Linked DNA regions of Zea mays. The protein of the gene in region 1 binds, or shares a complex with, the protein of each later gene. Links are inferred from orthologs where the notes say so. Each region holds a gene or a part of one and is shown on either strand. Other genes may lie near its edges.

Region 1 (4,108 bases):
CCCGGCTTCGGAGGAGCCTCCACGTCGCCCGACCTAGGGCACATGCCCGCCACGTCAACAGGAAGCGCCATCATCACCCTACCCTGAGCCGACTCGGGCCGCAGAGAACAAGACCGGTGTCCCATCTGGCTAGCTCTGCCAGATAGGCAATGATGGCGCCCCGCTAGCCCTGTGACGACGGCGGCTCTCAGCTCCCTTACGGAAGCAGGGGAACGTCAGCAAGGACCCAACCGCTCCGACAGCTGTCCCTCCGCCAGGCTCCGTCGCTCCTCCGACAGCCACGACACCACACCAGCTGGGTGCCAAGATCTCTCCGGCTGCCACATCGGCATGTACTTAGGGCGCTAGCTCTCCCCCGCTAGACACGTAGCACTCTGCTACACCCCCATTGTACACATAGATCCTCTCCTTACGCCTATAAAAGGAAGGACCAGAGCCTTCTTAGAAAAGGTTGGCCGCGCGGGGACGAGGACGGGACAGGCGCTCTCTTGGGGCCGCTCGCTTCCCTCACCCGCGTGGACGCTTGTAACCCCCTACTGCAAGCGCACCCGACCTGGGCGCGGGACGAACACGAAGGCCGCGGGATTTCCACCTTTCTCACGCCCGTCTCCGGCCACCTCGCTTCCCCTCTTCGCGCTCGCCCACGCGCTCGACCCATCTGGGCTGGGGCACGCGGCACACTCACTCGTCGGCTTAGGGACCCCCCGGTCTCGAGACGCCGACAGATGTCCTAGAGGTTGACAATGGAGCGCGAGCATATCTACCGAGTAGGGCGCTTTGTGATGATCGATAATAGATAGATCTACAAGAGGGATTTATAGTTGGGTTAGTTTGACTATAGCAAAATAAGTCTTATCCCCTCTCTATTTTATTAGACGAGAAACGGGGGAGAAATAAATCTACGTACGTGATCCACGACACGCGAAGATATTTGGATTGAGTTAGATTAAAAAAAAAATACTTCTTTTTTATCAGAGACGATGTGAAAACTTAAAAACCAGTGCTTTACGTAGCAGAGAGTGCTTCAGAGAAGAGAAGAGAGAGTGACTATATTATTTTTAGGAAATAATACTCCCTTGATTTTTTTATTTGTCGTCGAACAAGTCAAAAATGAATTGGTGAGCGTCATATATAAAAAACTAGAGGTAGTATAATTTTAAAAAGGATTAATAAAAGTAAAAAAATTCCAACCGCACACGGCACCTCCTCTCGTCCGTTCGCCGCCTGGCTCGCACCGCTGACAGTGCGTCAGTCCAGGTCGATACTCCCTCTTTCCAAGATCCGGTCATTCTCTCTCGGGGTCGGCTACCGCCGCCGCCGTACGCCAGGTGCCGACTGCCGAGACCTTCTCCGATCTGTTTGCCGGCGAAGAGCGCCCGCCAAGTATTCCCACCCTCTTCTCTTCCCTAGTTCCCTGTCTGCTGTGCGAAATCGAGTTCTCAAAACTCTAACCTCAGACTATTTGATTAATGTGTGTACACATGTACACCCTTGTTCCTTTAATAGATCTGCCCCTGGTTTCAACCGATTGAACCCCGATGTCCGACGTCGAGAACCCTGGCGTGGGTGGGAAGCCGCCGCCGTACAAGGACCCTGACAATGGGAGTCAGCGATTCCTACTCGAGTTGGAGTTCGTGCAGTGCCTCGCCAACCCTACCTACATCCACTGTACTGTACTGTCCTCCATTCTCTTGTTTCATCTCACCTTGTTGGGATTAGCTAATCTGATGTTGCACGCATCTATAGAACGTTTTCCTGTACCGGTTTGTTACCAATTTTGATAGGGGCTGTGCTGCTAGTAACTAGCAATCCATTGCAACGGACTGAAAATTTTTGTAGAAGTGTGTGTTTGTCAGTAAGTCCCTGCTTGAGAAGGGAGCTAGGAGTGCTTAGGAATTTTTAGTACTAGCCTAAATCCCATTCTCCCCTATTCAAACTGGTCTCGTCTGCATGGGCCTCATGAGCGGTTTCTTATCAATAGGATATGATTGCTAAGCTAAGGCTGTGATATTGTTAGTAGTGTTGCTTGATATCATCATTTTGTGTGCCTCATGGCTCCTTGTTTTTTACTTGAACTTTCTTGTTCAATGCACATCATGTTTGGTACTGCATGGATGATTTGAATGCTCTTTCTTTTCCCAAATAGATCTAGCGCAGAATAGATATTTCGAGGATGAGGCATTTATCGGGTACCTCAAGTATCTAAAATACTGGCAGCGACCAGAGTATATCAAATACATAATGTGAGTGATACCATATTCAGTGGTTTTTTCTGCAACAGAGGAAATGGCTTGCTCATTGTTTTTGCTGATGATGCAGGTATCCACACTGCCTTTTCTTTCTTGAGCTTCTCCAAAATGCCAATTTCCGAAATGCAATGGCACATCCAACAAACAAGGTGATCTTTTGGCCTAGAATCACACGTTCACACTTGAGCACCGTTTTTAGCTTTTGTTTACCGTCTTGCAGTGTCATCCCTTCTTTCAAAACCTAGCTGAAGTTGCTCTGTTGGGCCATATTATTTTGACTTGCTTTCTAGAACCTATAAAAAACAGAAAGTCACACAAACTTGATATGAGTACTTTTGTAGAACTATGCAGCACGTATACTGATACATGTATCGGTATCACAAGGATACTGATACACAGATACAGCAATTTCCTAAAAATTCCCATTCATGAATACATTTTACTATTTTTTAAATAAAAGGATAATAATGCATATTAAAATGGATAGCAATCTAACAATGAAACACCACAATCTACTTAACTATTTAAGTTCTAATTAAAGCACAGCAGGTCTCAATTCTCAAATACAGTAGTCTCAAATTTAAGAAATTAATAAAAGGCATTCAGGTTTGCAATTCAGGCTCGCACCAAGTTCCTATTCCGCATTTGTCTTGCTTGTTTCATTCTCATCCACAACATTAAGCTGGAGATCACCCAAACCAAAAGACACAGCTTGCAATTCAGGCCCATCAAGGGAGAGGTCAGGCACTTCAAGGATGCCAATACCACCAAGTGAATAAAAAAATCTCCTCCCACATCCCACATCATTGTCTCTCCTGTCTTATATGCATCAGTTCTTTTTGGCAGACAAAGACCAAATCTTCAACATGCTCTGAGTTATGGCATTTCTCTTGACACTATGGATAAAGCTATAGATGAGGCTGGTTGGCTAAGCAATTTGGTGGCCAAATTCATCAATAAGGGAATAGGCTGTCCATGAGTTGTCCACAAAGTCATAGGGGAAACAGCCAATCTATCATAGATTGAGTCAGGATCATTAGATTCTTTTGAACAACTAGAGAACCTTGAGTACTCTTCTTTTACTTTATTCAATTTTTCCAGCACGCGAAAGAACTTGAAGCAATTCATCCTCATCTTTTTATATCTCTTTATTCTTGTGGGGTGGTTCATGGCTAGGAACGGGAATGGGTCGGGTCGACCCATTGGGTAGTCGACCTGACCCACAAAAGTAAGGCCAATAGGTCAAACGTCAAAGGGCCGCTTCAAAGTTTAAATTGGCTGATAGGGCCAGAACCTGTTGACCCAATGGGTAATGTAGGTCTACCCACTAGTTGCATAACAATATTTTTCTTGAATTTGTTGGTCTTCGTTATTTTTTGTTTCAAATAAACACGATTAGTCATAACTTATAGACACGTCTATGCTTGGAAGTATGTCGAGGAATATCTGGAAGTATAAATAGTTAAAATACAAAATTGCATTATTAATACTTTGTGCATCGCAGATCATAACCAAAATTCTAAAAAGTGTTAAGCCATTCATGATAACTAGGTTTGAACCATGCATGACTCCCAGCAGAATTTTAGAGTTTTGAACTATGACTAAAATATCATTTTGGACTATGACCAATGTTTCAACCATGCATGCATGCACATACAGGGAGCAACAGCCATTAGTTGGATCTGGCTATGGTGCCCAGCAGTAGCCCTCAGCCCACTCTTGTTTGCAACTGCAAGTAGGCTGAGGGAGCCGCCACTTGGCCACTTGCATTATTTGCACCGGCTAGTTACCTGGTCCGGAACCTTGTGCCCAGCTGCGTTAGTGTCCTGGCGGCCAGGCCAAACCAACCAAGCTGCAGG
Region 2 (4,810 bases), on another chromosome or scaffold:
TAGCTGCACGGGCGGGGTCAAGTACTGGGTAGGCACATTAGCTGCGCGGCATGCGTGGGGCGGACCCAGAGTGTCAGCGCGGAGGAGTGAAGTCATGGTAACAACAGGTGCCCACATTAAGTTCTTAATAGAGTATTATATATTTCATGGCATTTATTTCAATTTAACTTTGCTATGACTGGATATGCAGAGGCATGTCTCTTTTGTAACAAGAGAAAAATGCAATAGTGCTTACAGGACTATGCTAGAGAGATGTAAGTAGGTTCTAATCTCAAGAACTGATTTAAGAGTTTGTGTTCCCTGATTTTGTGTGCACAGCAGCACAAGGCCTGCAAATGTAGATTTAAGATCTCGTACACCAAGTATAACTTAACTATGCTCTTAGGTTATTAGTTTATTGTGTTTAAAGTTCAGAAGTTCCAGGTCTTAATATATTCTTAAATTAATCGACCAGATACTCAGATCCTTTTCTCACATGATACGGAGTAGTATCATTCAGCATGTTACATTTATCAAAGTCCGGTATACTTATGGAGCTAATATTTTATCTAGCTCTATTTTCTGAATTTGGCATTGGTTACAACCTTTAAAGTTTCTGTACAGATTATCTCATTTCAGCTCTATTTTTTAGGTACACTGCTTATATTGAGTCAGTGGCCAAATTTTAACAATCAGTTGTGGTCTTAATCCATGTTACTGTTGTTGGTATGATAATGCACTTTGCTCACCATATCATCTATGTTTTTGGTATGATAATGCGTTAACGCGTCTTAATCCATGTTGGATGTAAACGCATGTTTTTTCTGCTAATGCTTCCTCTGTCCCAAATTATAAAACATTTTGGCATTTCTAGGTTCATAGCTTTTGCGTATCTATACATAATATATTTCTAGGTGTGTAGCAAAAACTATTGATCTAGAAAAGCCAAAAAATCTTATAATTAGAAATGGAGGGAGTAGTTCATAGTCCTCAGCCAATTCTCTTGAGTGCAGCCATCAAATTGTGAAATTGTACTTTGTCTACAGATCCTATAATATCGATACAAACAGATTATGACATCTCCACATTTCTGCTTACTTCCAATAGTTTATCAGCATACTGTCATGTAGCATAGTCAAATCTTTTTTTTCTGCACATAATAGATTAACATACATTTGAGATACAGTGATGGGCATATCTGGTTTCTTGGTAACCATCTTACTAAATTACTGTTCAATTCAGTTCGTGCTTTTGTGAAAATGACTAGTGAATATACTCTGAGAACAATGAAAACCAGTACTGCTTTGTTAACTCAAATATCATGAATCTGTAGGGACCATAGCAGTGGTGAATAAAACTTTGGATCTATAGAACGATAAAGGAACTAAGGTGCTGTTTGGTTTATATGTTTGTAATGTAATAGGTAACAAATAACGTTAAATCATGTTTGTTTAAGTCCAACTGTAATTGGATACCACACTACAAATTGATACCAGCCTATTCAAACTTGTTACCCCTGGTAATCGAATGCAAATCATTACCGTTACCATTTACGTTACATTTTAGGAACCAAACGGCACCTAATTTAAGTCGTGAGTTCGAAGCTCATCCCTTTCCTAGACCCCACTCGTGTGAGAGCCTCCAGCACTGGATCAGCCCTTTTTTAGTTTTTTTGTCTATCTCAAACCAGGGATCCCAAGTTCCCAACCTTATCTCTTCACTCAACAAAAGAGTTGACTCAAAATCAAAAACTGCAACAACCAATCCCCATACACTGGCTGGTCCAAACAGGTACAGACTTAAAACTGGCGCAGCATTATACCCCCAGGTTTTTTTTTTCTGGTCATCATGTAATTAGATCTATATACCTCTCATGCTTTGTCACGACACTATAATTTTTTTTTATGGAGAGCAGCATTTTAGCAATCTGTGTAAAGATTGGGCAATAACCAATGGGCATAAAGACATTAATGCTGAGTAGTAGTATATCTCAAAATGGAAAGGTAAAAACAACAGCCAGCAAATCGCAATGATTTAGGTGCTGTTTGGTTCAAAAAATGTAACGCAAATGGTAATGGTAATAGTTTACGCTCGATTACTGGCGGTAACAAATTTGAATAGGCTGGTATCAAATTTTAGTACGGTATCTGATTACGGTTGGACTATAACAAACATGATTTAACGTTATCCATTACCCATTACGTTACAAATATATGAACCAAACGGCACCTTAGTTCATGTTCTTGCAAATATCAACACGCAAGGTTAATGCTGTCACTCATAGAAACACAGCAACGACAAGTTCTTTGTTTTCTATTGAAGGAAAAATGCTACAATTTTCATATGAGAAGGGCGATGCTACTAGTTTAATTCAGTAACTCCATAGTCCATACCTACTGGGCACCCTCCTCCGGGTGTTGCCCTCCAGCGCCGGCATTTGGGGTAGCGGCACCGCCACTGCCGCCGGTCCCTTGAGCAGAGGCGCCGTGCTGGAGCTCGATGACGAGCCATCGGACGGCCTTGCTCATCTGCTCGAGGCGGACGGCGCTGATGGGCTTGATGCCGGGGGCGGCAACGGATCCGGCGGAGGCGGACCCCGTGGCCTCGTCGACGAGGCACTCGGAGCCGATGCGCTGGCGGATGGACTCGACGAGCTCTTCGGCGTGGTCGCAGGCGACGCGGAAGATCTCCCAGCGCTGCTTGAAGGCCTCGAGCGCGGCGTCCGTGGCCGCCGTCTTCTTCTCGCCGCCCGACTGTACGCGGGCCTCCACCACAGCCGCCGCCGCCGCCATGAAGTCGTCGTACGCCGCGCTCAGGTGGTCCACAGTCGCCTCCATCCCTCCCTCACCCCCAGCTTCTGACGATCCAATTCGGCCTCAGCCCCCAATTCGACACGACGACCCCGAAACCGAAAGCAAAGCGTGAAAACAGGAAATGCCGAAATGGCCCAATCGATATCGGGTCGAGATCAGGATGGGCCTTTTTATTCGACATACGCATCTGGACCAGGGCTAGAGATTGTAGGCATGGATTTTTTTCTAAAAAAATAATATTGTTTTCCCAGACCGTATAGTAAATAAATTCTAAAAATTACATTATTGGACGCGTGTTGTTGGGAAGCTCGCGATCAATCGTGCGGACAGAACGTAGGAAGTGGCGGATCCAGAGCTACTATACGTGGTCTTTTTTTTACAAGACTCTCGTTTATCCTAATTGTTTTAGAATTAGAATCATCTTTCTTCTGGTTCTTGATGAAAAATTTATCCATCCTATTCTTATAAGCATGGGATTACTACCAAATAAATAATCAAATCAAAATTTCAAATCAAACTTAAAGCAAACAATAGCACATGTTTCACCTTCACTGCTTGTCTGCTTCACAGATCACAGCTTCACCTTCGTTGCTTCTGCTTCGCAGTTCGCATGGGACGTCCTATTCCTGCATGATCTGTCACAGATTAGCAGAAACTCTCTTGGCCTCCTATTCCTTCATCGTCCCAAACTCCCAACAGAACAAGGAACCCCCAACAGAAAGCTTGGAGGGGCATTGGCACACGCCGCACACCGCGCATGGCATTATGGCAAGGCCATACATCACTGGCTGTCTGGCTCATCACTCCAATGCAAGAACAAGCTAATAGCTAAGCACACTTTCTTCTCAGCGCGTGTGTACAAACCTGAGCTCCACGAATTAGCAGAAGGAGGGAGCGCGGAGTGGCGGCTGGACAGCGGCGTGGTCAAGGCGGTGCTCCGGGCGGGGCTAGCGGCGGTGTTCCGGCGGTCCGGCCTCCGGGCGAGCGACGCTGCGGGTTGCAGCGGTGCTCCGGGCGTCGGGGCGTGGGCGGTTGGAGGCCTGAAGCTCGTGGGTAGAGGGAGGAGGAGCGACCTACGACTGGGAGGCTGTTCACGCGGTCGCGCGGCTGGAGCTGATGGGCTTATTCGCTGATTTTTGGGCCGCGACCGGGCTGCAGCCCAGGCAGCCCCAGCCTCGGTTGGAGATCCGCCACTGAATGTAGGAAGAGCTGAGTGGTGTGTTGGCTTACTGCTACGATTGTCCCTATTGATTGTGACTCTGATTAGATAGTTCTAGACATGTCATCTGGCTTGACATGTAACCAAATGGGTGTGTTATTATCAGTGAATCACTCTATTAATACACAATACGTAGTATATTAAACGTTACCGTACATTGAAAGCAATTGTTGGGGGTAAGCCTTTGCAGGAGGTCCTTAATTAAAATCAACTAATCTTAACCACTTTATCATTTATTCCGAGAGCAACCAATTCATGTTTGCCGAAGGTCGCTAATGCAGGTTAAAAGAGGAACAGAAGAAGCTTTGGCTTAAGCGTGCAGATAAAGCATGTCGCCAAACTCGAAGCGAATGACAAGAAAACGAACAAAGGACTCACCGATGTGTGCACCAAGGCTTTGGAAGACAAAAACGATGATTCCCCAGGCAAATTTTGTGGTTACTTGTATATGGTTTGAGAGCATGATTATAACTTCATATGAAGTTGTACATCGAATCGTCACTATAAATATAGACACAATGTCATACACAGGACACGTTGCCGGATCGAAATCGCTCCGCCTTCAAAGCTTTATTACTTTTCTACCTTCGAACTGTTGTCTTAAGCTCTCGAAGGTATTATTGTAATCATTTGTAATTAAGTAGAAATAAGAAAAGAAGTGTATTAGTAATGTCTGACATCAATCATCTTTACTTATTTTACTTCTCTTAAACCTATTATAATGGTGGTCTTATTCGTTCGATATATCCTTTATCAAGGGATAAATCGAAGGAACGAAGATCCGGTTTGATGAGGACAT
Region 3 (4,553 bases), on another chromosome or scaffold:
TCACCCTAAGGAACATGCCCATTAGGGATGTGTGTCCAAAAGAATCCAAAGAGCCTCCATAAGCACAAGGTCAACCATCATCTTCCATACAAGCATCTCCACCAACTCAATATGAGGAAATGGCTCAAGAAGAAGAGGATGAAGATCAAGACGATGAGCCACCTCAAGAGGAGGACATTGATCAAGGGGGAGATGAAGATGATCAAGACAAGGAAGATGATCAAGAAATTCAAAACCAAAGACCACCGCACCTAAGAGTCCACCAAGCAATTCAAAGAGATCACCCTGTCAACTCCATACTTGGTGACATTCACAAGGGGGTAACCACTCGATCTCGAGTTGCTCATTTTTGTGAACATTACTCTTTTGTGTCTTCTATTGAGCCATACAGGATAGAGGATGCACTAAGAGATCCGGACTGAGTGGTGGCAATGCAAGAGGACCTCAACAACTTCACAAGGAATGAGGTATGGTATTTAGTTCCATGTCCTAACCAAAAATTAGGGTGTTACAACTATTAGGGCTTGTTTGGGAGAAACAGGATTGGAGGGGATCGAGGGGTTAAAATTTCTTACTTCTCAATAAGCCCTTAAGTGATTTACTAAATTTTAGGTACCTGAATTTTAGTTTTTAGTGTGTTGTAATTTATATAGACATAATCTACATTTTTACTCTTAAGAATAAAATATCTATTGAACAAAATCATAAATTTGGTAGATTTTGATTTGTGTTGACATAAAGACCATTAACATTTTGCAATTATTTTAGTAGTTAGCTAAGGGAAAAAATATAGGTTATAACATAAAGGTAAACAATAAAATTATAGTCTTAGACCCCCTTTGGACCCTTGGAATTGAATTCTAATATAATAATTGTAATTTAGACATAAATCAATTAAACTAATATGGTTTTATAGTGAGTATATTTGTATATTAGTGTTGGCCATATTTGAGAGATATTTATATGTTACATTTCTACTATAGGAGAGTGAGTAGAAGAGTGTGTTATAAATTACAGAGTAGAAACGTAGAATTGAATACATAAAATCAATTTCCACCCCATCTTATGAATTTGAGATGAGTTTATATCTAAACTTTGGAAAGTGGTGTAATATCAAATTCAAATCAAATAACCTACTCTATTAAATACTCCCTCCAGTCTTTAAATACTTGATGTTTAAGTGATTTTCACTTTGGATGCAAATACTTGATGTTGAAGCATTTGAAGCTTATTTTGGACTAGCAAATGCTTGATGTTGAAGCATTTGAAGCTTATTTTGGACTAATATACCCTTGATATAAGTGGTTCACACATTCTTCCACATATGCTTAATTATTCTTATCGTGAAGGTTTGATCTCACGACCTAGTGTAAAATTCTTTAGGACCCAACCATCTAGGCTAACATCTTCATGTGTTTGTTGTGGAATCTAAGCGTATTTATTAGGGGTATTATGGAAAATAACAACCCTATTTAATAGCTCCTTGGTATATGAGGTCATGTCCAAAACATCAAATATTTGAAGACTGGAGGGAGTAAATTCCAATTCTTTGAAAATAAAAGGATCCAAATGGTCCTTTATTAGCAATCAGTGGTATATAAGAGTGTTGCCTAAATTTTAGGCACCAAAATATGAAGAAGTGTGCTATTATAAAAAAGAAAAAATATTTCAGAAAATTGTCAGCCTGAACAAACTATGCGCTTTCCTTCAGCCAAGGCAGCCTCAGCCCTCGAGCCTATGCCTATCCAGGCGCAGAACACGCCATTTGTAAACCAATCCTAGCCGTGCGTCTTCAATCCAACGGAAAGTTCCTCCTTGTCAATAGCAAATCGGAGGCCCAAGCGCTCCCAATCTCTCCGGGTCCTCTCTCCGCATTCTCCGTCATGGCTGAGCCGACGCCGTCGCAGTCGCCAGCGCAGACGCCGCCCCCGCCGCCGACGCAGCAGACTCCCGCGGCGGGTGGGCTCGAGGACATGCTGGCGTGTGTGGCGGCGCTGGAGGCCGCGCTGCTGCCGTGCCTCCCCGCGCGCGAGCTCCAGGCCGTCGACCGCTCCCTCCAGTCCTCCCACCAGAGTACGGCCGACCCCCATCATTTCCCCACTCTCCTCCTCTAGAGGTAGCTTCACTTTGATCCGGCACGGCTTCGACACCAGTAAAGTCTCATGGTGTTCGGTCGGTTAATGGCGCCGTCGCGCGCCACATGTTCGTTGTTTTGCCTACGGGATGGATAAAGGGATCTTGCTCTTTCTAGAGGAAGATTTTGCATCTTTCTTGTGCCCAGGAAATTGTATATCGATTGGTTTCTTAGGTCCTAGACTGAGAACTCAACTTGTATCAACTGTACCAATCAGGCAATCACATTGCAATGCTTATTAAAGAAGTAAATCACATTTTTAGATACCGACTTAATAGTGTGCAATGCTTATTAGAGAAATTTAATTGCATTTTCTCATTCGTTCCTGCCAAACAGGGTATCTAAGTGTTGTAGTCTCTACTAAATTGGGCAGTTGATGTTGAGAGGCACGCAAGGGATTTCATGGAGGCTGCCAAGAAGCTCCAGTCTTATTTCATCAGCCTGCAGCGTGAGGAACCGCCATCTGCAGAAGAGATGCTTCGAAAGGTATATTTCTACTTTATCCTCGTATAGTTAAGAGTGCGGCAAGGATAGTAGTTAAATTAAATTGGGGACTGGTTATGGAGAATGAATTAATTATAAAGTGTTTGGTTTGAGGAATGAGCTAGTCCATCGTCTTCTCACTTCTCTTTTTTTATTTGATTTGTGGAATGAAATAAGGAATGGAGTCATTCCTTATAGTTAGTTAGTACTAATATGAGAAATAAGGTCATCCCAGCAAATTTGAGGAATGGACTCATTATACACCACATCATTTTGGATTGAGTGACTCCTCAAACCAAACACTCCCTTAAAAGTTTTCATTGGTGATAGGATTGACATTTCACATGATATGATCATCCCAAGTACTGTGATCATTTGTGGTTGGCACTATACTTAGGAATAGCCAACTTTATAAATCACATAGTGCTACTTGCTACAGGCAGTTTGTTACACTCAGTATAAGCTTTATTACAAAGACTCCTATATTTCTACTCGAAGTTGAGGTGTTCATTATTGAAAGAACTGGTAGCCTGCCTGAATCGTCACTTCTACAAAGTAATGTTCCCAAGGAACACCCAATCACATTCATACACCTAACACCTTCTGTGCTCATGAATTTTTCATGCACACGTTTCTGTAAAAAAATGCCTTTGCAGTAGTTGAGAGAATCACAGGTGCATAGTTGCTGGTCTTAATTAGGAATTTGGGATACATATACCCACCCAATATTTATCATCTCGTTGGCATGTTCGGTTTTGCATTGCACAGGAGATTACGACAATGGAGGAAGAGTTGAAGAGCAAGTCTGAGCTCATTGCCAAGCACAAGAAGTTGATTGAAGGGTGGCAAAAGGAACTGAAGGAGCAGCTGAGCAAGCACATCACGGAGCTTGAAAGGGTGTGAGGAGTGCGATTCTGCGGTTTACCTTGTAGTGATCATGAACCTCTAGGTGACCAAATGTTATGTTATGCCCTATAAAACTGTGTACATGTGCTTAGAATCTGACGCCATGGTTAGCAATCGCCTTTTGTTGGTTTCTTAAGGTTGGAAGCCACGAACAAAGCCCACTTTATCTATGTTTGATTGTGTACCTTTACTTGCCCCATGGTCTCTGTTGTTGTGCAAAATGAGTCTCTGCCATCATAAAACGACATAGAATGCTAACGGCTTCCTGTCTTTATGGGTAAACTTTGGGTGAATTTATGGGTAAACTTTGGGTGAACTGTTGGAGTCAGCCTAGCGGGTTATGTGCCTACTCTGGATGGCCGCCATGTTCGCAAGTTCCTTTCTATCTTTACTCCATTTGTGCCTGGATCAGCTCGAACAGAACCTTCTCCTGACAAAAAGCCGAGCCAAGTGGCACAGTTGCTACGTTGAATACACGAGCAAGCGAAAAAAAACACTTTGTGTTTTATCTCCGTTCCTAAAGGTGCACTGCCAGGTTGTTCAGTAATCCACTACTAGTCAAAATCTTTCTCAATCCATTTCAATACACCTTAATCCATATGATTTTGCTATAAAATGAACAAGACCTAAGGACATAATCCTTGTCATCACAATTCATATGGATTGGAGATAATTGGATGAGTTTAAATTTATAGTAAGTTAAAATCTCTATTTTTTTTCAATCACATCTAATCTATGTGGCGTAGAAATAACCGAGATGGAACTGTTCCATTCCATCACATTTTTACAGTAGTTTGGTTTAGAAACCAAGAGAGGTTCCTCCGAGGAATATACTGGTAAGATTCGGGGCCAATTCACTCATCCCAATCGAATCGGGCAAGCCCGTGTCGAACGCCAAAAGTGGCGGGCGGTTCGGCCTGAAGGCCCAGACGGTCCGCACTCCGCAATCAGATTGACTCGGACGATTATTTTTATCACGTGTGTGGTTATCCATCTAATCACATAGGATCTGTTCGCTATCGCCTAGGAA
Region 4 (4,402 bases), about 30 Mb from region 1:
GAAATGGTAGGGTTTGACTAAGACTCACATAAATGAATGAAATGCACCACGGTCCACGGGTCCTTAAACTATTTCTGCATTGTCATCTAAGCCCATGAACTCTGAAATTTATCATCCGGATCCTTCAACTTTTCAAGTGGTTCATTTTATGGTCACTCTAGGTCCAACCATGGACTTGAATTTACACTTCAAACGAATCACTTGAAAAGCCGGAGGACCTAGCTGATTACTTTGAGAGTTCATGGACCCAAATGGGAATATGGGGAAGTTTACCCCCCCCCCCCCCCTGTGGTTCATTTCACTCTAAATATTTATTTGGTGGACAAGCAATTTTCAGAGATGAAATTGTTAAAATGGGTGGTTATCTTTTGTTGGGGTCTTATTTCCTGATCACCAGGTGCATATACAACATGGTATATCATAGTTTGCCTCCAAGTTACCATTATCAGTATTATGCCAATCAAGTAGCACTATCTGAAATTTTGATTGTGTGGCTGGTATTATCAACCAGAATGGTTGGTTAATGGTTAGTGCTGGAAAGGAACAAAAATGAATCTGTTTGATGGAAGCAGGTAAGTATTATTTGTGATCCCTATGTTTCCCAGTTCCCCTTATATGCCAATTATTCAGTATGCAAATCTGAAATGCTAAATCCTAATTCATGTGGGCACAAAGCAACAGAGTTATATTAGTATCACAGCTTGCTTGATTATTAGTTATCGTCATTAGTTTGCAAAAAAATTAGTAATAATTATATGCTTGGAATTTTAAATACAAACTTCTGGTGCTGATTCTTTTGCGGTTTTGCCAGTTGAGGCCAGTATGTCTTGTAGTCAGCTGTTTACTACAGTTCTTTTTACAATGGCAAAATTTTAACTGTTTTATTTACTTATTTACAGTTCACAATGCGTTAGTTGGAACTTGGACGGTTAATATTTTGTGTCATAGTGCACAAAGTTGTTTTATGAGCCGCATTACTGCATCTAATGTCTATTGTATGCTAGAATAAATTTTGTATCATAGATATATCAGTGCACCTATCTTTTCTGAAACCTTATTTGTCTGCTATGTGGTTGATTGATAATACGATCTCTGTATTTCAGGACCAAGGGAGCTCACTGGTGCTGTTGATTTGATCAGCCACTACAAACTGCTGCCACACCATGATTTCTTTTGCAAGAAACCTTTGCCGCTGGCAATATCAGATACACATTATCTTCACAATGTTGTGGGAGACACTGAAATTCGCAAAGGAGAAGGAATGGAGTTAGATCAACTTGTTCATAATGCATATCTGAGGGATAAACCTGCTTATATTCAGCCCTTTGATATGGAAACTCTGGGGCAAGCGTTCCAACTTCGAGAAACAGCTCTTGTGGATTTGCCTTCTGTAAGATCCTTTCTAGTATCTCACTTCTCTTATGACATTGTTAGATTTGCTCATTGTACTGTTTATAACATATACCATATCAACAGACTGAAAAAGGTATACCGACTATTTCGGGTAAACCAAAAAGTGAGTCCAAGGACAAAGAGAAGAAGCATAAAAGGCACAAAGACAAAGACAAGGAACACAAGAAGCACAAACATCGGCATAAGGATCGGAGTAAGGACAAAGATAAAGACAAAGACAAGGATAAGAAAAAAGATAAAAGTGGCCATCATGAAAAGGTTAGTCCATTTTCTGTATGGTCAAAAACTCTGAATAGCTTCATTTTAAACCATATATACCTTTGATGGACAATGCTCACCATTTGTATCAGAAGAGGAAGCATGAGGGAACAGAAGATTCAGTAGATGTGCATAAGCACAAGAAGAGTAAGGTAGCACACTGCTATTATTTTCTTGCTGATACAATAGCTTTCATAGAGAAAATTTGCCTCTTTGTTTTTAACATGGATGGTCAACTTACGGCAGCACAAGAGCTCCAAAACCGATGAGATGGGGAATGGAGTTAGTTAACACTTCCTAGCTCTACCTCCAATCCTTGTAATTTGCTGTTAAAACTTAAAAGGAGACAGACGGTCTCTGCTATCAAAACCCTGTGCAGAATAGTGGTACGCTTCTTTACTTCCCTTTTAGATTCAGTTTGCTTTTCGTGTAACTTTTTTAGATTCTGTTATTCCGTGGTATCTGCCTTGGATAGCTTGTCTTATTTGGGTGTTTTTTGTCTGATGATGCAAATCTTTTAGCTAGAGGTTCATTGTTAACTTGTGTCTTTAGGCATGTTTGGTTGAGCTGTGGCTTTTGAAAAAGCACGTGTGAGCTGTTGGTCATGAAAACGCTGGAGTCTGGCATGTGAAAAAGTCAAAACTGTTTGGTTGAACAGGTGTAGCTTCTGGAGAAACTATTGAGAGGACCCCACATGTCATTCATAGTTCCCCCACTCAACTCTCCCTCTCTCACTAATAAGAGGACTATGCTCGATAGCTTCTTCCTTCCAGTTCGTGCACTGGGAGGGGCGTCGAGGGCCATGCCTGGGGAGGAACTGCCAGCCTACGAGCGTCGGCCTTGCAGCCACGGTCGGCGATGGAGTGCTGCATCTGTGAGGAAGTCAGGATGCACTCGCTCACATGTGGCGGAGGCTCCCCTGCCAAAGGCATGGTCGACCGGTCGGGAGAGGAGAGGACGGGTGCGGAGGGAGGCTTGCACCTATTAAGTTCTCTATGTTGGAGGATAGGGGCGGGGAAAGGAGAGGGCGAGGGGTGGCGTGCGCCCGTCGCTGTCGGTGAGGCCTCCTGGTAGAGGCCATGGACGGGGGAGGTGTGCGCCCGCCGACAAGTCCTTCCAGGTGGAGGTTAGGGGTGGGGCAATTAGAGGAGGGCGGTGGGTGGAGGCGCTGTCCTCCGGCTCTCGCTGGTGAGGCCTCCTAGGCAGAGGTCAGGGGTAGGTGGGGGGAGGATAGGGGCGAGGGGATGTGTTCACACCCATCAGTCGTTGTCGTTGAGCCCTCGGGCTGTGGATGACATGCTGTGGTGGTGGAGGATGTCGAGGACGATGACGTGGTGGAGGCCACACTTTCTTTCTCATGGAGAAAGTAATAGAGAAAAACAAATGAAATGGTACACAACATAACCAGTAGCAGGTGGGTAATTTTCATGAAAAGTTGGAATGAAGACGGGTGAAGTATTAGTTGGAATGAAGACGGGTGAAGTACTAGTCAATAACTTCTTTTGTTTGTGAATTTGGGTGAAAACCAACCCCTGGCTTCTTTGGGAAGCCAAAGCAGGTTGAAAAACCCAACCAATTGGGACCTTAAGCCATTTTAAGAGGCGAAATTCCTATTTTCTAACATTAGTCTCATCTGATTTTCAGCTTCATCTCTACAATATCTAAATATGCAATGGCATTGACAGCTACTCAGATTCTATGTGGGGCTAATTTGGTGACCAGAGAAATGGAGGTGATCCATGGGGTGAATAGCAAGGCCCATGGATCCCCTCCATTTCCCTGGTCACCAAACCAGTAGGGTGTGTTTGGTTTCAGGAATGAGGTGGTCCATCTTCTCATTCACTTTTTTATTTGGTTTGTAGAACCCAACCAATTAGGACCTTAAGCCATTTTAAGAGGCGACATTCCTATGAGCTAACATTAGTCTCATCTGATCTTTAGCTCCATCTCTACAATATCTAAATATGCAATGGCATTGACAGCTACTCAGATTCTATGTGGGGCTGATTTGGTGACCAGGGAAATGGAGGGGATCCATGGGGAGGAATCCCCCTTGCTATTCACCCCATGGACCCCCTCCGTTTCCCTGGTCACCAAACCCGGTAGGCTGTGTTTGGTTTCAGGAATGAGGTGGTCCATCTTCTCATTCCTTTTTTTATTTGGTTTGTGGAATATAATGAGTTGATCCATCGCACCCCATTCCTCACAAGCTAATAATTAGTATATACATGTGGAACGAGTTGATTCCACTGAAATTTATTTTATGAATTCATCATGCATCACCTCATGAACCATAGGGTGACTCCACAAACCAAACTCACCATTAATTGAACTGTTCATTAATTAGTTGCTCGTGCGTTACAACACTTTGTATACATTATATAGATAGTCCTTGCTTAAATGAGATAATTATTCGGTCACCATATAGATTCTCAGAATACACCAAAAAGAGACAACCGGGAACCAGGATAGGCTCAACACATGCACCAGCAGTCGGCGCGCCTCCGACGCCTCACACGGATCTAAACACGCGGCGATACGGTTCTGAGGTCGTATCACACGGATTGGGCTGCGTCTTGTGGTGCACCTAGGATTTCACCCTAGAGATATCGTGCAACAGTGTGGCGAGGAAAGAGGCGGAGACAACGAGCAGCGAGGTATGTGGTGTGGGGTGAGACAAGATGAAGTTTTTTCTCTTATTTTTTTCCACGCTCGCGAGATTAGGGATGGT
Region 5 (4,887 bases), on another chromosome or scaffold:
TTTTATGCACATTATGTTTAGTTTCACCATATGCATCACAATCACCTAGAATCAAATGCTGAAATGGTTCCAAGGATATTGCTGAATTTTGCAAGGTAGATGAGTTTGTTGCAAGCAAGTGCAACCGGTTAGTAAATGCCCCCCAGTGAGATTGCCTGAAACCATTGAGATTGTTGACAATGTTACTAAATAAAAGGGGCAATAATTTGCATAAAATAGGAATTGCATGTATATGCCATTGTTGCATCTTCAGTGAGAGTATCCCTTCAACATCACTTCATTTATTTATATGAACAGAAAATGACTACTAGGTTTCAATCACGAACTTCCAGTAAACTACTGTTACTTGATGTTTACATTCACCCATCAGTTCATCAGATCATGACAAAGCTCGAGTCCCATGGCTGCCGTTTTTATCAAAACTTTTCTTGGCTATTTAAGAGGTAAGGCGAATAAAATACCACAAGCATAGACAGTTGTACTTTTTTCCTTTTGCATAACCCTAAGTGCTTCTAGAACATTATCTTAAATGTTTGCATTAGAGAAAATACACAGAATATTCTATGATACATTGGTTATGTTACTGGCAAAATCTTGAGCAATTATTTGTAGCTCCCCAAACCCAAATCCCACACAAACAGGAATAAACCAAGGCTTCCTCCATAAGCTTGAGTGAAGTTTATGAGGTCATGAGCCTATGAGATGAAGATCTAGTTTGTTATTTGACTAATATATTTGAAAACAGATTACTAATGACCAATCAGCAAAAAGATGAATTCATCATTTCCAAATGCTCAAAAATAAAGACCTGAAACAATTCAGTAAAAGAGTACTTCAAGTTGAAAAGACATACATGTTTTCGCGTGCCAATGATAGGATACGAGTAATTACTTTATCGCGAAGAAGATGCTCAATGAGCTCCATAGTTGTTACAGTGTTCATCTTCTGTAACTTTTTGATCTTCTCAGTTCTTTGTTCAGTAAAAGTTCCTTCAAATGTGCTCACATCTTCAGGCCTTGTTGGCCATTGAGCATTCTTCTCTGGAGTTAACTCTAGTAGGCCCTCATCATCCAGAACAACATCAATCAACTGCCATATAATACAAAGAATGAAATGCACAACAAAAACCCCTGGTTCACATGTAGAGATGCCAAATATCTTGGAAAGTCTAAGATTCCGCTCTATTATATCCATGATCCTGCAAACATTAGAGAGGCTTTAGCAAGGATCTCTTATTGCTCCAGCAAATTTAACACTGCAAGACAGGCCCTTTTTTCAATTGCATTTGAGACTTCTATAGGGATAGAGTGCATGAATAGATAACAGTGCAAGGAACAAGCTTAAAAACCACATGGAAGCACATACACTCTTACTTCCAAAAAACAATTTAAAGTTATAGAGCAATAACAGTGCAAAGTATTAGGAAGTGAAGAACATAAGTAATGTATAAAAGATATATAAGAAAATTTCCAGAAGAATTTCGGCAATAAATGCCGCCTTGACAAATTCAAGAGAAGTTGCATGCATTACTGCAAGACAAGTAGACTTTCCATCATATAAAAGTTGGGGCCCTTAGTTGGAAATGACAGATATGACCACTAATCCACTACAGAGACATCGCACAACAAGGTGTATATACATGTGTAAACCTTATTACAATTACAAACACCTGAAACTGAAATGCTTATTTTAAGGCCATTAAGATATGACCACTAATCCACTACAGAGACATCACACAACAAGGTGTATATACAAGTGTAAACCTTATTACAATTACAAACACCTGAAACTGAAATGCTTATTTTTAAGGCCATTAAGAATAATGCTAAATTACATTGAACACTACACCTATTACTCTGATTCTCATTCCAGACCACTGACTTGAGCATAGTGTTAAGAAAATACAGGGAGCAGTCAGAGAGGGGAAAGGCACACTTTCTGAAATTTGCTGCTTTCATCTGATGATGGAAGTTGAACCCATGTCTTTTCAAGAGCTCAAGGTAGAGTCTATACTCCATTGGCCTGGAAAGCCGGTGAGGAATTACCCTGCAGGACCCGAAGAACAAACGAAGTCCATAAGAATAAACATTGAGAAAAGTCCTAACTCCATCATAAGGTCACACACCACACAATCCAAGCACGTTGCACGACAGCAATACCAGCCAGTGAAATAATTAGTACTAAGTGGGATTTGCCACACGCTAATCTAACTACTTTTCCAGTCCCAAAACATAGGTCAAACTAACCGTGTTGGCTATTACAAGACCCTGTTTCTCTTGAAAAAAAAAACTGGACGAGGATTGCAGTGAAGCCCTGATTAGCCTACCGACTGAGTGTCCAACTGCTTATATATTCTTAAAACAGGCATTTCTCCCATGGTGTGATCTACCCACATTGTCATTTGGCAATGCATTGACACATGACACTGCCACACAGCGTATTTCCGCCCCCTCAAATTATCGGGGCGAAGCACGTCAGCTTCCTGGTAAAACTCGTGTACGGGCAAACACCTGACCGGACACGTCGTAAAACTGCTTGCGTGCATTCGAGGTGCAACTGATTCGATTTAGATCCCCGACAGCTAAGCGCTGCATTCCGCCATTCCGATCCTACCAACCGCCACGGACCACGCCACAGACACAACGCACAAGCCGACGCCACGAAGCACCGGACCGCACCTGGTGGAGAGGAGCGCGAGGAGGAGCGCCGGGGACGCAAGCCGCGCCGCGAGCGCGGCCTCCGCGTACTTCCAAGCGGCGGCCGCCGGGGCAGCCCCGCCACCGCCGCCGCCGCCGCCGGGGAACAGCGCTCGCGCCAGCACCTCCGCGAGCCCCGCGGACCAGGGCACGTCCTCACTCTCGCCCGCCGCCGCAGCGGCCGCCGCCACCCGCGCCGCCCACTCCGGCGGCGGGCGGGCCTCGGCCTGCGCCGCCTTGGTATACTCCGCGGCCCACTCCAGCCACGGCGCGGAGGACGGTGGCGGCGCCGACGTGGCCATGGCCGCGCGTGTTCCCCCCCGCCCGTCAGTGGCGGTGGGTGCTCCTGCCGCCGCGTGGAGTGCCGTGCCGGTGAGGAGAGAGAGAGAGAGAGGCTGCTGGAGTGGTGTCTGCTGCAGCCCTGCAGGTGCTGTGCTGCTGGGTTGGTTTGGTGGTGGTCCGATCGCCGATGATGCTGATGGCGTCCCGTTGGTGTAACCACCTCTCCCCCCAGTCCCCCACCGCACCACCTCGCGGTGGGGCCGCCGCTTCAGGATCTTCTGCGTGACCGAGCTTTCCAACCAAGAGAAAATGGAGTCGCCAGGCTACCACTGGCCGCAGCGGATCCTGGAGGTACGTGTGGTCCCACACCAAGTGGCGTGGTGGTGCCATTGCCGTGATCCAGCCCCCACCCGTTGACACGTGGTCCCGGCGCCCTTGACTTCGTCGCTCGCGGTTTGGAAAAAAGCTGCTGCTGCAGCCCGCGCGCGGCGGGCCCCGCCGACCGACCGTCCGTCCGGCAGCCCAACTCGCGGCGCGGTGGCCACGCCGGCCGTCGTCCTGTTCGGATTGGCTGGGTACTGTGGCGATGCGTCAGGCTCGGCCCTCGGAGTTGGGCCGTTGAGTTCACGCTCACCTACTACGGCGTCAGTGAGTGAGTGGGAACTGACAGTGACACAGCCTGACCACTTCACCTGCAGATATGGTACTACTTTTTTCTGTCTCGCTCTCCGCCAAACAAATCTCTCTCTCTTTTTAGTACTAGTAGGAGAAGACGGTAGGTATGCGTGTGTTCCGAATTTTTTGCATTTTGGTCCTTCATCGGAAAAAAAATCACATTTAGACCCTAGAAAATTTTAATGTCATTTTTGACCATTTACTCGGCGCCGTAGCCTGTGGCGCCGAGGTAACACAGCTCGGCGCCATAGGCTATGGCGCCGAGGTACGTGCTGCGTTGGCACAAACGAATGTCGTGGGGCCGACGTGGTACCGAGCTCGGCGCCATAGATCATGGCGCCGAGCTCTGTTCTGTATAGAAAATTTGTCTAGCTTAATTGGTAAAATACAAGACTCTTAACCTTGTGGTCGCGGGTTCGAGCCCCATGGTGGGTGGTTTTTAATATTTTTTGTCTTTGTCACTTATTTGTTTTTTTTGTCCATATTTTTCGTTTATGTCGCTGATTTGTTTGTCCTGATTTATTTCTCATCCAGTTTTATTTTTGTGACTGATTTATTTATTCGTCCAAATTTTTTTATCCAGCGAGCACAGCAGCTGTGTGCCACAGTGCTCATAAGCCGTCAACTTCTCCCCTTGTTTGCTCAGCTAACCACAATAAAAATCAAATGAGAACACTCTTACTTCAATCGTGATCAAATAAAAATATTATATTTTTATTAAGTTCTTTTGAACATAAATTTTAAATACATAATAACATATTCCCAGTAAAAAGAAGCACACATAATCATCTTTTTTTCTTCTGCACTAAATAAAAGTATACTCCATTATATACTTGTCTCATGGATGATATATTTTAGAATTTACTGCATATACAGCTGTTGTGCTCGCCGGATAAAAAAAAGCTGGACGAATAAACAAATCAGTCACAAAAATAAAACTAGATGAGAAATAAATCAAGACGGATAAATCAGCGACATAAACGAAAAATATGGACAACAAAAAAAGTGACTAAGACAAAAAGTATTAAAAAAACACCCACCGTGGGGCTCAAACCCACAACCACAAGGTTAAGAGCCTTGTATTTTACCAACTGAGCTAGACAAGTTTTCTGTACAGAATGGAGCTCGGCGCTATGATCTATGGCGCCGAGCTCGGTACCACGTCGGCGCAGCACGTACCTCGGCGCCATAGCCTACGGCGCCGAGCTGTGTTACCTCGGCGCCACAGGCTACG
Region 6 (3,114 bases), on another chromosome or scaffold:
ACAAAATACAAATAGTTTTTGTTTGTGCGGACACTTGCAGATGGAAGCATTTTCGAGAACAGAAACATTTCAAAAAATCGTTGAAGCGTATTCAAGGCCAACAAGGATCATCCGTGGAAAAGAAATTGAGTCTGCTTTGGAGGTACTGTTTTAAACATGTACCATCATAATTCATAAACTGTGATTTCAGTTCAAATTATGGTGAAGTTTTTGACTCGCAACTACCCCATCACCAGTCTTGACTATGCGGTATTTCTCTCCTGCCTCTGATTTTATGTGTAGGTTGACCCACACGTATTTGAGAAAGATGAAGAGAAAGTTTTGTGGAGCGCCTACTTGGAGGTTGCTGATAAGATCCATCCTGGTACATGTTTTTCATATCCATTTTTCATTTCAATTTAAATGTTCATTTGTCTGATTCCTCCAACTACCCATTCTGTAGGTGTTGATATTAAGACCTTTGTGGATGCTTCTCTTATCCTGATACAACCCCTAGAAGATTTCTTCAATAGTGTCTTCGTGATGGCGGTGAGTTTTGTGAGGCCCTTGAAAAACTTAACTTGTGCTGATGAGTGAGAGTGATGATGGTGTATATTATGCGCAGGAAGACGAGAGAGTTCGCAACAACCGGCTAACGTTGCTGAGGAAGATTGAGAGTTTGCCCAAGGGGATTGCGGACCTGTCAGTTTTACCTGGGTTTTAAGCTGCCTATTCCAGCCAGGGGGTGTGAGCAATAGCCGTAGCGGAGAGATGATTTTGATTTTACAAGTATTTCTGATTAAAGGAAAAAAAAACGTCGTCGCAGTAGGGCACGGCAATCCCAGTAAACGCTGTACTTGTAATTCTGATTAATACAGTCAACAAACGGAATCATATCTCAAATCTTGTGTCGACAAACAATACAGACCTAAAAAAAGAGAAAAAGGTTACAGCATCCACCTGTAAGTTATCAGGGTTATTGCAAAATCAGTCTACAAAGCTCGTCAAATGTGCCCTCACATACCTACCTAGCTAGATATTAATTGTACATGACAATTAGTGAGTTGTCTCTCCCTTAGGTTCAGATAGATACTTATCTGCGTAGTGTAGAAGCCGCCGCATCCTTAGGACCATGTCACAGTGAAAGGGCAGTGCTGTGCGCCTTTCTGTGTACACCGGGCTTACTGTCAACCAAGACAGAGAGTGAAGCTCCGCGGCCACAGCTTCCAGCACACTATGCATCTCCATCTCACACTCACGACCTGTTGTCTCCTGACTCAAGTTCCTTGCCTGTTTGCTGCCGCCGCCGCCGCCTCGGCTCATCTTCTCTTGAACAGTCCCACTGCTGCCTCCATAGTGATCGATGATGCTGACTGAGAGAACAGAGGGCTGTTCATCCTTGGTGAGTTGTGCAGAGTCCCTCCTAACAGGTGGGACGGCTTTCGAGACGACATAGCCCATCGCTAAAGGAATCGCAGTCCCTTTGCTGTGCAGTAGATGGGCAAGCGGCGGTGACTCCGATGTGAGGCATGTCGGGAGCTGTAATGTTGCAGGAGAGAGGTATCTCATACTTGGCGAAGGAACTAGAAGGTACGAGTGTGACGCTGACATTGACCCAATGGACTTCACTGGAGTGAAACCTTCCAGGTAACTCCAAGGGCCACTGCTGCCTTGACTCCCTTCGCCTGTAAAAAGTGTTCCAAGTTTAATATCTTTTACCATTGATCTCCTTGAAAAACATTGAAATGAATTTTTAATCTGTGTTGGTCTAGGTGCTTACCAGCTGAAGCAGGTCTGCTCAGTAGATCTGCTTGGCATGTGAGATGCAACGAATGATCTTGGGAAACTGCAACCAAACTGATGCTACGAACTAAGTGCAGTGATCCCCTTGAAGTGTCCATTCCACTTTGTTCCACAAGGATCTGTTTTTTGTTGCCAGATTGTCCAAGTGCACCTTTCATGAAGCTTGATTTTGGATGAGGGCTATACAGAGGGTTTGGTGAGGAAGGCATGTTTCTATCTTGAATTAAGGCCATGTCTTGCTGCTGCTGCTGCTGGAGCGTAGGACCATTTGAACTAGGTGGAATACCCTCAGGTATGGATCGCCGTAACTGCACAGGCCACTTCTTCACTTCATTGCCACCATAAGAGTATATTGCCTTCTGCCATTCTGCGGACAAAACATATTAGATCATCGCGTTAGTCTCGAAACAGAAGGTATCTCAGTTCCTGATAAAAACAAGTGAGTACCTTGGATTTCAAGCTCAAGGAAACCTCCGATACGAGTTATTATGACATCTCGTGGTCTCATATTGCTAGCCTCAGGTGAAGACGACATTATTTGACAGCCTTGCTGTAGAATTTGGATGAAAAGGCTTTGGAGAACTTTAGTGTCTTGGCGGCTACTAATACCACCAAAAGGAAATATTAAGCTGTCCAATAATTCTCCTCTAGCATCTGTCCAAATGCACACTAGCCATCGCCAGTCCTCAGTCCAACCATAACAGCAATGAAGACTTGCTGCACTGTCACTCTCAGATACGTCGAGTAGAGGGCTCACTCCACTATCAGAGTTACTTCCTGAAATTGAGCCATATACCCTGCTGCCAGATGCATCTGCTCCAGATTTTGATGGTTCCATTAAAGCATTAAGATCGGCAGACCCAGGGTCTGCTAGTATGAAAAGTGGCTCAAAGGCATATTTCCTATCATCCTGAGCACATAAATCAGGCAGCTTACTTGGGTCCAGAAGTCCTCCCGAACGAGCAGGCTGCCATGAGTTATCCCATGTTGCCGACCTCATGGATGCATCAAAATCGGTTTCTCGAGAGAGAGTTGGCCCAGACATTCGAGGAACTAAACATTCCTTCCAAAGAGTAGGAGCAGGAGATGTAACATGCATCATTGTGGACTGAGATCTACCCAAATAAGTTGGTGACTGGAACATATCGCTTGTGGAGACAGCCCGTGGGATTCGTCGTGCCTTGTTGTACACTGTGAATGCTATGTCCTTCAAAACAGCAAGCTCCTTGTTTGGCTTATCCATTCTCAGTACAGTTTCAATAGTAACAATCTGCAAGACGAGCTTGGGTATACTGAACCCGGATAGCATAACGACATTTGATGCTGATGCTT
Region 7 (4,879 bases), on another chromosome or scaffold:
AAGTATTTGAATGAAAGTATGCAATCTACTTGCTAGGATGCATGTTTGTCCCCTCAATGTGAGATTATGGACTTAAGCCTCCCCTAACTCCATAATTCACTTACTTCCTATTTTTGGACCAAATAACCAAAACCACTTGAAAAGCCACTTGTAGATTTTAAAATTTTAAATTGGTGGTGTTTGATGTTTGATACATTGTTCATTGCTTTGGTCCCTAAACTTCTCCCCCTTTGGTATCAACCACCGAAAAAAGAAGATATTAAAAGCATGTAGGAAGTAAATAATACTTGCCCTCATAAAGAATTTTGTCAATTGATACCAATTGCAGAATTTTGCCCTCATGTAAACTTGCCCTCATGTAAGAATTTTGCCCTCATAACGATCACGCGTCACCTAGTGTGTGTAGGCATATACTTTGTATGGCGCATTGTGCTGCCTTCCCCGGTATACGGGTCACTGTAGAGGCTCCAGTGCTGAGGTTTTTTCTATGACTGGGTTGACTGACCCCACATGGCAGTGGGGATACGCCTTAGAGCGTACGTGGTGGCGTTCAGTCGTGTCGATAGTGACCTCCTGGCGCCCCTTCGGTACGTTGCACATATGTCCGGACGTGGGTTGATGATGACGCGTCTTGTCGTAGCCATCACGGGTTAATAGCGTTAGGTTGGGACCTCCGCCTCGTATGGTTGCCCAATTTGGAGTTGGTCGACCGCTCCTCCTCAAAGGGTTGCTCAGTGGGGAGTTGGTCGGCTGCTCTGCTTTGCGAGGTTGCTCGTCGATGAGTTGGTCAGCCGCTCTGCCTCTCGACGAGGAATTGGTCGTTCGCTCCATCTTGCAAACTTGCTCGACGGAGGACTTGGTCGTCCGCTCCGCCTCGTAGGCTTGCTTGGCAGAGGGTTGGTCGGCTAATGGGCCGGAAGGAGGTTGTGGGCTTACTTTTGGTTACCCTGTTCCTAGGTACATGACAATTTACATAGTAGAGTTCTATTTGGTAGAGCTCTTTTAATGGCCCCTCAACAGCTTCTTCAAAAAGGCTACCAAATGGTGGGCTCCTCTCGTGGCTTCTCCATAAAAATAGGAAGGAGATGTCCCTAAAAACCGAGGAAAGCCCAGAGCCTAAAAAGGAGGCTTCTCTGACTCGACTCTCTCTTGTCACTCACCCTCCCATGAAAATAGGAGTAGTTGTGTTTTAACTAAATAGAGTGTTCTCCAAGGGTTACTAAAAATAAGGATCAAACTATTTTTTTCAGATGAGCCAGAAGGAAAGCCGGTGATGCAAAAATCCTACCAAAAGGGAGCCTCAGAAGAGTCAACCCACTTTATAATAGTACACATATTCAAGTTTTAAAATTATATATAACCTTAAAAATCATCTATATATTTTGAGCTTTTAAAGTGGGCTAACACGAACCCTACTAGATGTTAGTGTCGGCATGACATGATTAGACACTATAGTGCCGTGTCTAGACAATAGTACTAACACATCACGACACATTTACTAATAGTGTCTAATAACACCATTAATGCTGGACAGACAATCTATTTAGCCATCTATAGATGAATAAGGTTAAAAAACACTATCTATCTCCTCTCGTATCTAATATCTATCCACTATTTCAACTCCAACGCTACAAACAAAGGTATGACTATCGTACAACAACAGTTCTTTAGACGGCCATATCAGCTGGACACAGCCACCGTACTCCGAGATTAGCGCCCCCGTCGGCCAAACAGTACCGGACTGGCCGCCGTTCACAGTTCACGCCCCGCGTGGTCCCTATTTCCCGGCGAGCACTAGGCTACCGCCGCCGCCGTCAGGTGCCGGTGCCCAGACCTTCGTCGTGCCCATTTCACCGGCGACGAGCACCCACTAGGTATGCCCGTCCCTCCTCTCCCCTATCTGCTTTGCGAAACCGAGCACTCAAAACCTAGCTTAAGAATCGGATCTGATTCAGGAGTAATTGCAAGTATATGCATGTATTATTATGCCTACTAAATTACTAATAACTTCGATTTTTCCAATAGCCCCTGCCCGCAGGTGTTGGGAACTGGGGATAGAGATGGATCACCACCACCCGCAGCAGCAGCAGCAGCAGTACGGCGATCCTTACCGTGGGCTCATGACGTCCCCGCAGCCCGACCACCACCTCCACGCTCTTCAGTACCATCAGCCGCAGCCGCAGCAACAGCCGGCGCTTATGTCTCCACCGCAGCCACAGCCAGCACTGATGTCTCCACAGCCGCAGCAGACACTGATGTCTCCACCGCAGCCGCAGCAGCATCACCACGCCTCTCTTGCCTCCCACTTCCACCTCCTACATGTAAGTAACGGAGTGTTTGGAGTTGTGTGGAGTTTTGTGTTTTGGGGGCCTTTGCTCTTAGTTTAAGATAGCATAGATGATACATACCCTCAAATGAACCCTTCTTTTTGTAGTGATGTCATTGATGTTGTTGGAGTGTGCCCTTTGTGCACCGGAATTTCAAAATTCTGAACTTGGGATTTTGCTAGTCATTAAAGATTGTCATTAATTTGTCCTGTATTTGTTGCTCAGCGATTGCAATTTCTTCACACCATGATTTGTCACTTTGGCCGGTAGTGAAGATTGCCATATTATAGGTGTACATGAACGATATACAAGCGTCAGAGCGTGCAACATTGGTAATGGCCAGAGAAAATGTTGATTCTAATCACTCGAGTTGGTTTGACAAGAAATACATAAATTAAAAATATATATGAGGGCACTTTAGGTATTGTAGGTTTTCTTAAGCTGGCAATCACATGTCTGTATTGGCATCTAACATTTAGGCTTATTTCCAATGGCTTTTTTGCAAGTAGCAAATCTTTGTTTCCACTTTTATGATGGCTCTTCTTCCTTTTACTCTTTGAGAAAGTACTAGAATGTATTGTGAAATACTGATAGTTTTCTTCTTTGCATAATTTTGTTCTCTGTTAGTTGGTTACAAGATTAGCCGATGCTATTGGTACAGGAACAAGGGACCAAAATTTCGATGCACTGGTAAGAATCACCATTTACTAATTTTCATTTGTTTTATGGATCAATGTTCTTGTACTCATAGTGCATGATCTTGTCAGAAACAATAGTTGTAGCTTCTTCTAGGCGTGGAGCCTGAATATTCTTATACAGAGTTTGAATTGACATGTGATGTAATTCTTAAATCACTTCCCAGAGAAGAGACAGGTCACAAACAATGCTCTAGTGTTGGTGGTGCACAGGAAGCTTGGGACCAGCCCAGGGTGACAGGGTCTGCACGGTTCAGTTTTCCATAGCCAAAACCAAGCCAGTGGAAGACATACCCTTAGTTATGCAATTATGCAATTGCAGAAGCATGTTAAAATTACTACTATGTATTGTGTACTTCCATGCTGATTTCTTATAGAATACCAGCTAAACACCATATTTTTCCCAGCGTTTTGCTAAATCCTAATTCCAATAGCTACTGTATTAAGAGAAGCTTTTTATATATATCTAGGTTGAAGAATTGACCAGCCAGTTTGCTAGGTGCCAACAATTGTTGAACTCCATATCGGGAACAATAAGCTCAAAGTCTACTGTAAGTTCTGTTACTTCTCTTTCCTGACTCATATGCTTTATTCTTAGTGGTCTTCTGAATTTGATAATAATTACTAAGTTAAATTGAACTATTCTGGCTAATGAATCTCAATTACTTTGTTTTGGTATCCAATAAAATTTTCAATTGCACAAGAATTAAGAATTTTTTCCAGAAATGGATAATAAGACGGGGTATAGTAGATCTGTTGCAGGTTTTTGTGTTGTCTCATAAAATGTCTATAAATATTCATGTCTCTAGGCAAATCCTTTTAAAAAGTTAATTCACATTTATTTAAACATCAACAGGAGCATTGCCATATTATATAGAAGGCATGGGACTAAAAGGCTTTCTTTGGGACTGCCCCAACTTGATTGGAGCTAAAAGGCTTTGTTGTTGCCAGAAGCACTAGCATATCATATAAGAACTCAAATGTGCACGGTGCACACATGTTGTCCTCATGCTCAAACACGGATGAGGCTGCCCAAGCAGTCTTGGAACGTGCCTACTGAGCAACTCACACACATAGAGGCTTAGTCCCCTCTGATGAAAATCCCGTGTGACACCTGAGTCGCCCCAGTCAGGGATCAAACTCGGGTAGTAGCGCTCGCACGGTCGCACCGAGCGGCCTTAGTGCCTTACCACTGACTTACTGAGCCATTGTTTTGTTTTCTAATTCACAATTATTAGTTGTTAAGAGTGTCTAAAGTTTGGCTAGTTTTGGCAGTTTTTACTGCTGGGTTACTAGTACGTAATAACTGATGTTACTAGCCAGTAGGGACTGTCGGTTTAGTGGAGACCGGCATGAGCTGCCTTCCTTAAAAAGCCCTAGTTTTCCAGTTGATACCGGTGTCAGTGCTGTCATTACGATCTACAATATTTAGAACCATTTTAATAGACCTAATATTGCTAATTTTATATGTTGTATGGTGCTGGTTATTTTGTGAATTTCAAAGAAATTGGTGGAATATTGCTCGATCAGCACCATTGGTGATTGCCTGGTTTACCCAGTACCAGCTGCAATACATTAAATATTGGAAACATGTTTTTATAGCATGATTGCTGTTGATGACCATTTTAAATAAGTTAGTCAACAATGTGTATTAATGTGTTGACCTTTTCTTTTGTAATTTGTTTTGGATTAATGCATTATATGTAACAAATGTGCATATGCATTATGAATCTCACCCAAAAACTAGATGTATGTTGAGTTGCAACGTAATTGTAGTCCTGTCTTAAACATGTAAGAACCAGAACCAGTTATTGATGCTTGAAGTTTCAGTACTCATGGTAATTGCTGTATTTGTTA

What was found.
Region 2: Mediator of RNA polymerase II transcription subunit 31 (region 1) and Mediator of RNA polymerase II transcription subunit 32-like share a complex: the UniProt entries of both Arabidopsis thaliana proteins name them as parts of the mediator complex. The link is inferred for Zea mays from reciprocal best matches to the Arabidopsis thaliana genes MED31 and MED32.
Region 3: Mediator of RNA polymerase II transcription subunit 31 (region 1) and Mediator of RNA polymerase II transcription subunit 28-like share a complex: the UniProt entries of both Arabidopsis thaliana proteins name them as parts of the mediator complex. The link is inferred for Zea mays from reciprocal best matches to the Arabidopsis thaliana genes MED31 and AT3G52860.
Region 4: Mediator of RNA polymerase II transcription subunit 31 (region 1) and Probable mediator of RNA polymerase II transcription subunit 19b share a complex: the UniProt entries of both Arabidopsis thaliana proteins name them as parts of the mediator complex. The link is inferred for Zea mays from reciprocal best matches to the Arabidopsis thaliana genes MED31 and AT5G19480.
Region 5: Mediator of RNA polymerase II transcription subunit 31 (region 1) and Mediator of RNA polymerase II transcription subunit 33A share a complex: the UniProt entries of both Arabidopsis thaliana proteins name them as parts of the mediator complex. The link is inferred for Zea mays from reciprocal best matches to the Arabidopsis thaliana genes MED31 and RFR1.
Region 6: Mediator of RNA polymerase II transcription subunit 31 (region 1) and Mediator of RNA polymerase II transcription subunit 13-like share a complex: the UniProt entries of both Arabidopsis thaliana proteins name them as parts of the mediator complex. The link is inferred for Zea mays from reciprocal best matches to the Arabidopsis thaliana genes MED31 and GCT.
Region 7: Mediator of RNA polymerase II transcription subunit 31 (region 1) and uncharacterized protein LOC100276155 share a complex: the UniProt entries of both Arabidopsis thaliana proteins name them as parts of the mediator complex. The link is inferred for Zea mays from reciprocal best matches to the Arabidopsis thaliana genes MED31 and MED9.

Annotation. Positions count from the first base shown.
Region 1 is NC_050096.1:207,962,187-207,966,294, forward strand, and holds the start of Mediator of RNA polymerase II transcription subunit 31, read left to right. Parts: upstream 1-1,308; 5' UTR 1,309-1,383; intron 1,384-1,506; 5' UTR 1,507-1,538; coding exon 1,539-1,668; intron 1,669-2,146; coding exon 2,147-2,243; intron 2,244-2,319; coding exon 2,320-2,398; intron 2,399-4,108. UniProt on the Arabidopsis thaliana protein: Component of the Mediator complex, a coactivator involved in the regulated transcription of nearly all RNA polymerase II-dependent genes.
Region 2 is NC_050101.1:142,577,994-142,582,803, forward strand, and holds Mediator of RNA polymerase II transcription subunit 32-like, read right to left. Parts: upstream 2,936-4,810; 5' UTR 2,817-2,935; coding exon 2,373-2,816; intron 1,130-2,372; 3' UTR 917-1,129; downstream 1-916. UniProt on the Arabidopsis thaliana protein: Component of the Mediator complex, a coactivator involved in the regulated transcription of nearly all RNA polymerase II-dependent genes.
Region 3 is NC_050103.1:84,915,989-84,920,541, reverse strand, and holds Mediator of RNA polymerase II transcription subunit 28-like, read left to right. Parts: upstream 1-1,737; 5' UTR 1,738-1,883; coding exon 1,884-2,073; intron 2,074-2,507; coding exon 2,508-2,620; intron 2,621-3,385; coding exon 3,386-3,520; 3' UTR 3,521-3,705; downstream 3,706-4,553. UniProt on the Arabidopsis thaliana protein: Component of the Mediator complex, a coactivator involved in the regulated transcription of nearly all RNA polymerase II-dependent genes.
Region 4 is NC_050096.1:177,739,999-177,744,400, forward strand, and holds part of Probable mediator of RNA polymerase II transcription subunit 19b, read left to right. Parts: coding exon 1-6; intron 7-1,103; coding exon 1,104-1,390; intron 1,391-1,476; coding exon 1,477-1,671; intron 1,672-1,763; coding exon 1,764-1,823; intron 1,824-1,917; coding exon of another isoform or gene 1,918-1,962; exon of another isoform or gene 1,963-2,203; intron 2,204-3,315; exon of another isoform or gene 3,316-4,402. UniProt on the Arabidopsis thaliana protein: Component of the Mediator complex, a coactivator involved in the regulated transcription of nearly all RNA polymerase II-dependent genes.
Region 5 is NC_050097.1:165,233,960-165,238,846, forward strand, and holds the start of Mediator of RNA polymerase II transcription subunit 33A, read right to left. Parts: upstream 3,147-4,887; 5' UTR 2,999-3,146; coding exon 2,679-2,998; intron 2,047-2,678; coding exon 1,936-2,046; intron 1,199-1,935; coding exon 854-1,198; intron 156-853; coding exon 1-155. UniProt on the Arabidopsis thaliana protein: Component of the Mediator complex, a coactivator involved in the regulated transcription of nearly all RNA polymerase II-dependent genes.
Region 6 is NC_050104.1:30,394,722-30,397,835, reverse strand, and holds the end of Mediator of RNA polymerase II transcription subunit 13-like, read right to left. Parts: coding exon 2,230-3,114; exon of another isoform or gene 2,150-2,229; coding exon 1,760-2,149; exon of another isoform or gene 1,752-1,759; intron 1,665-1,751; coding exon 1,036-1,664; 3' UTR 935-1,035; downstream 1-934. Other genes in the region: glycine--tRNA ligase, chloroplastic/mitochondrial 2, read left to right, coding at 41-142, 283-364, 443-528, 605-703. UniProt on the Arabidopsis thaliana protein: Component of the Mediator complex, a coactivator involved in the regulated transcription of nearly all RNA polymerase II-dependent genes.
Region 7 is NC_050097.1:1,837,159-1,842,037, reverse strand, and holds the start of uncharacterized protein LOC100276155, read left to right. Parts: upstream 1-1,709; 5' UTR 1,710-1,874; intron 1,875-2,025; 5' UTR 2,026-2,060; coding exon 2,061-2,321; intron 2,322-2,954; coding exon 2,955-3,017; intron 3,018-3,492; coding exon 3,493-3,573; intron 3,574-4,879. UniProt on the Arabidopsis thaliana protein: Component of the Mediator complex, a coactivator involved in the regulated transcription of nearly all RNA polymerase II-dependent genes.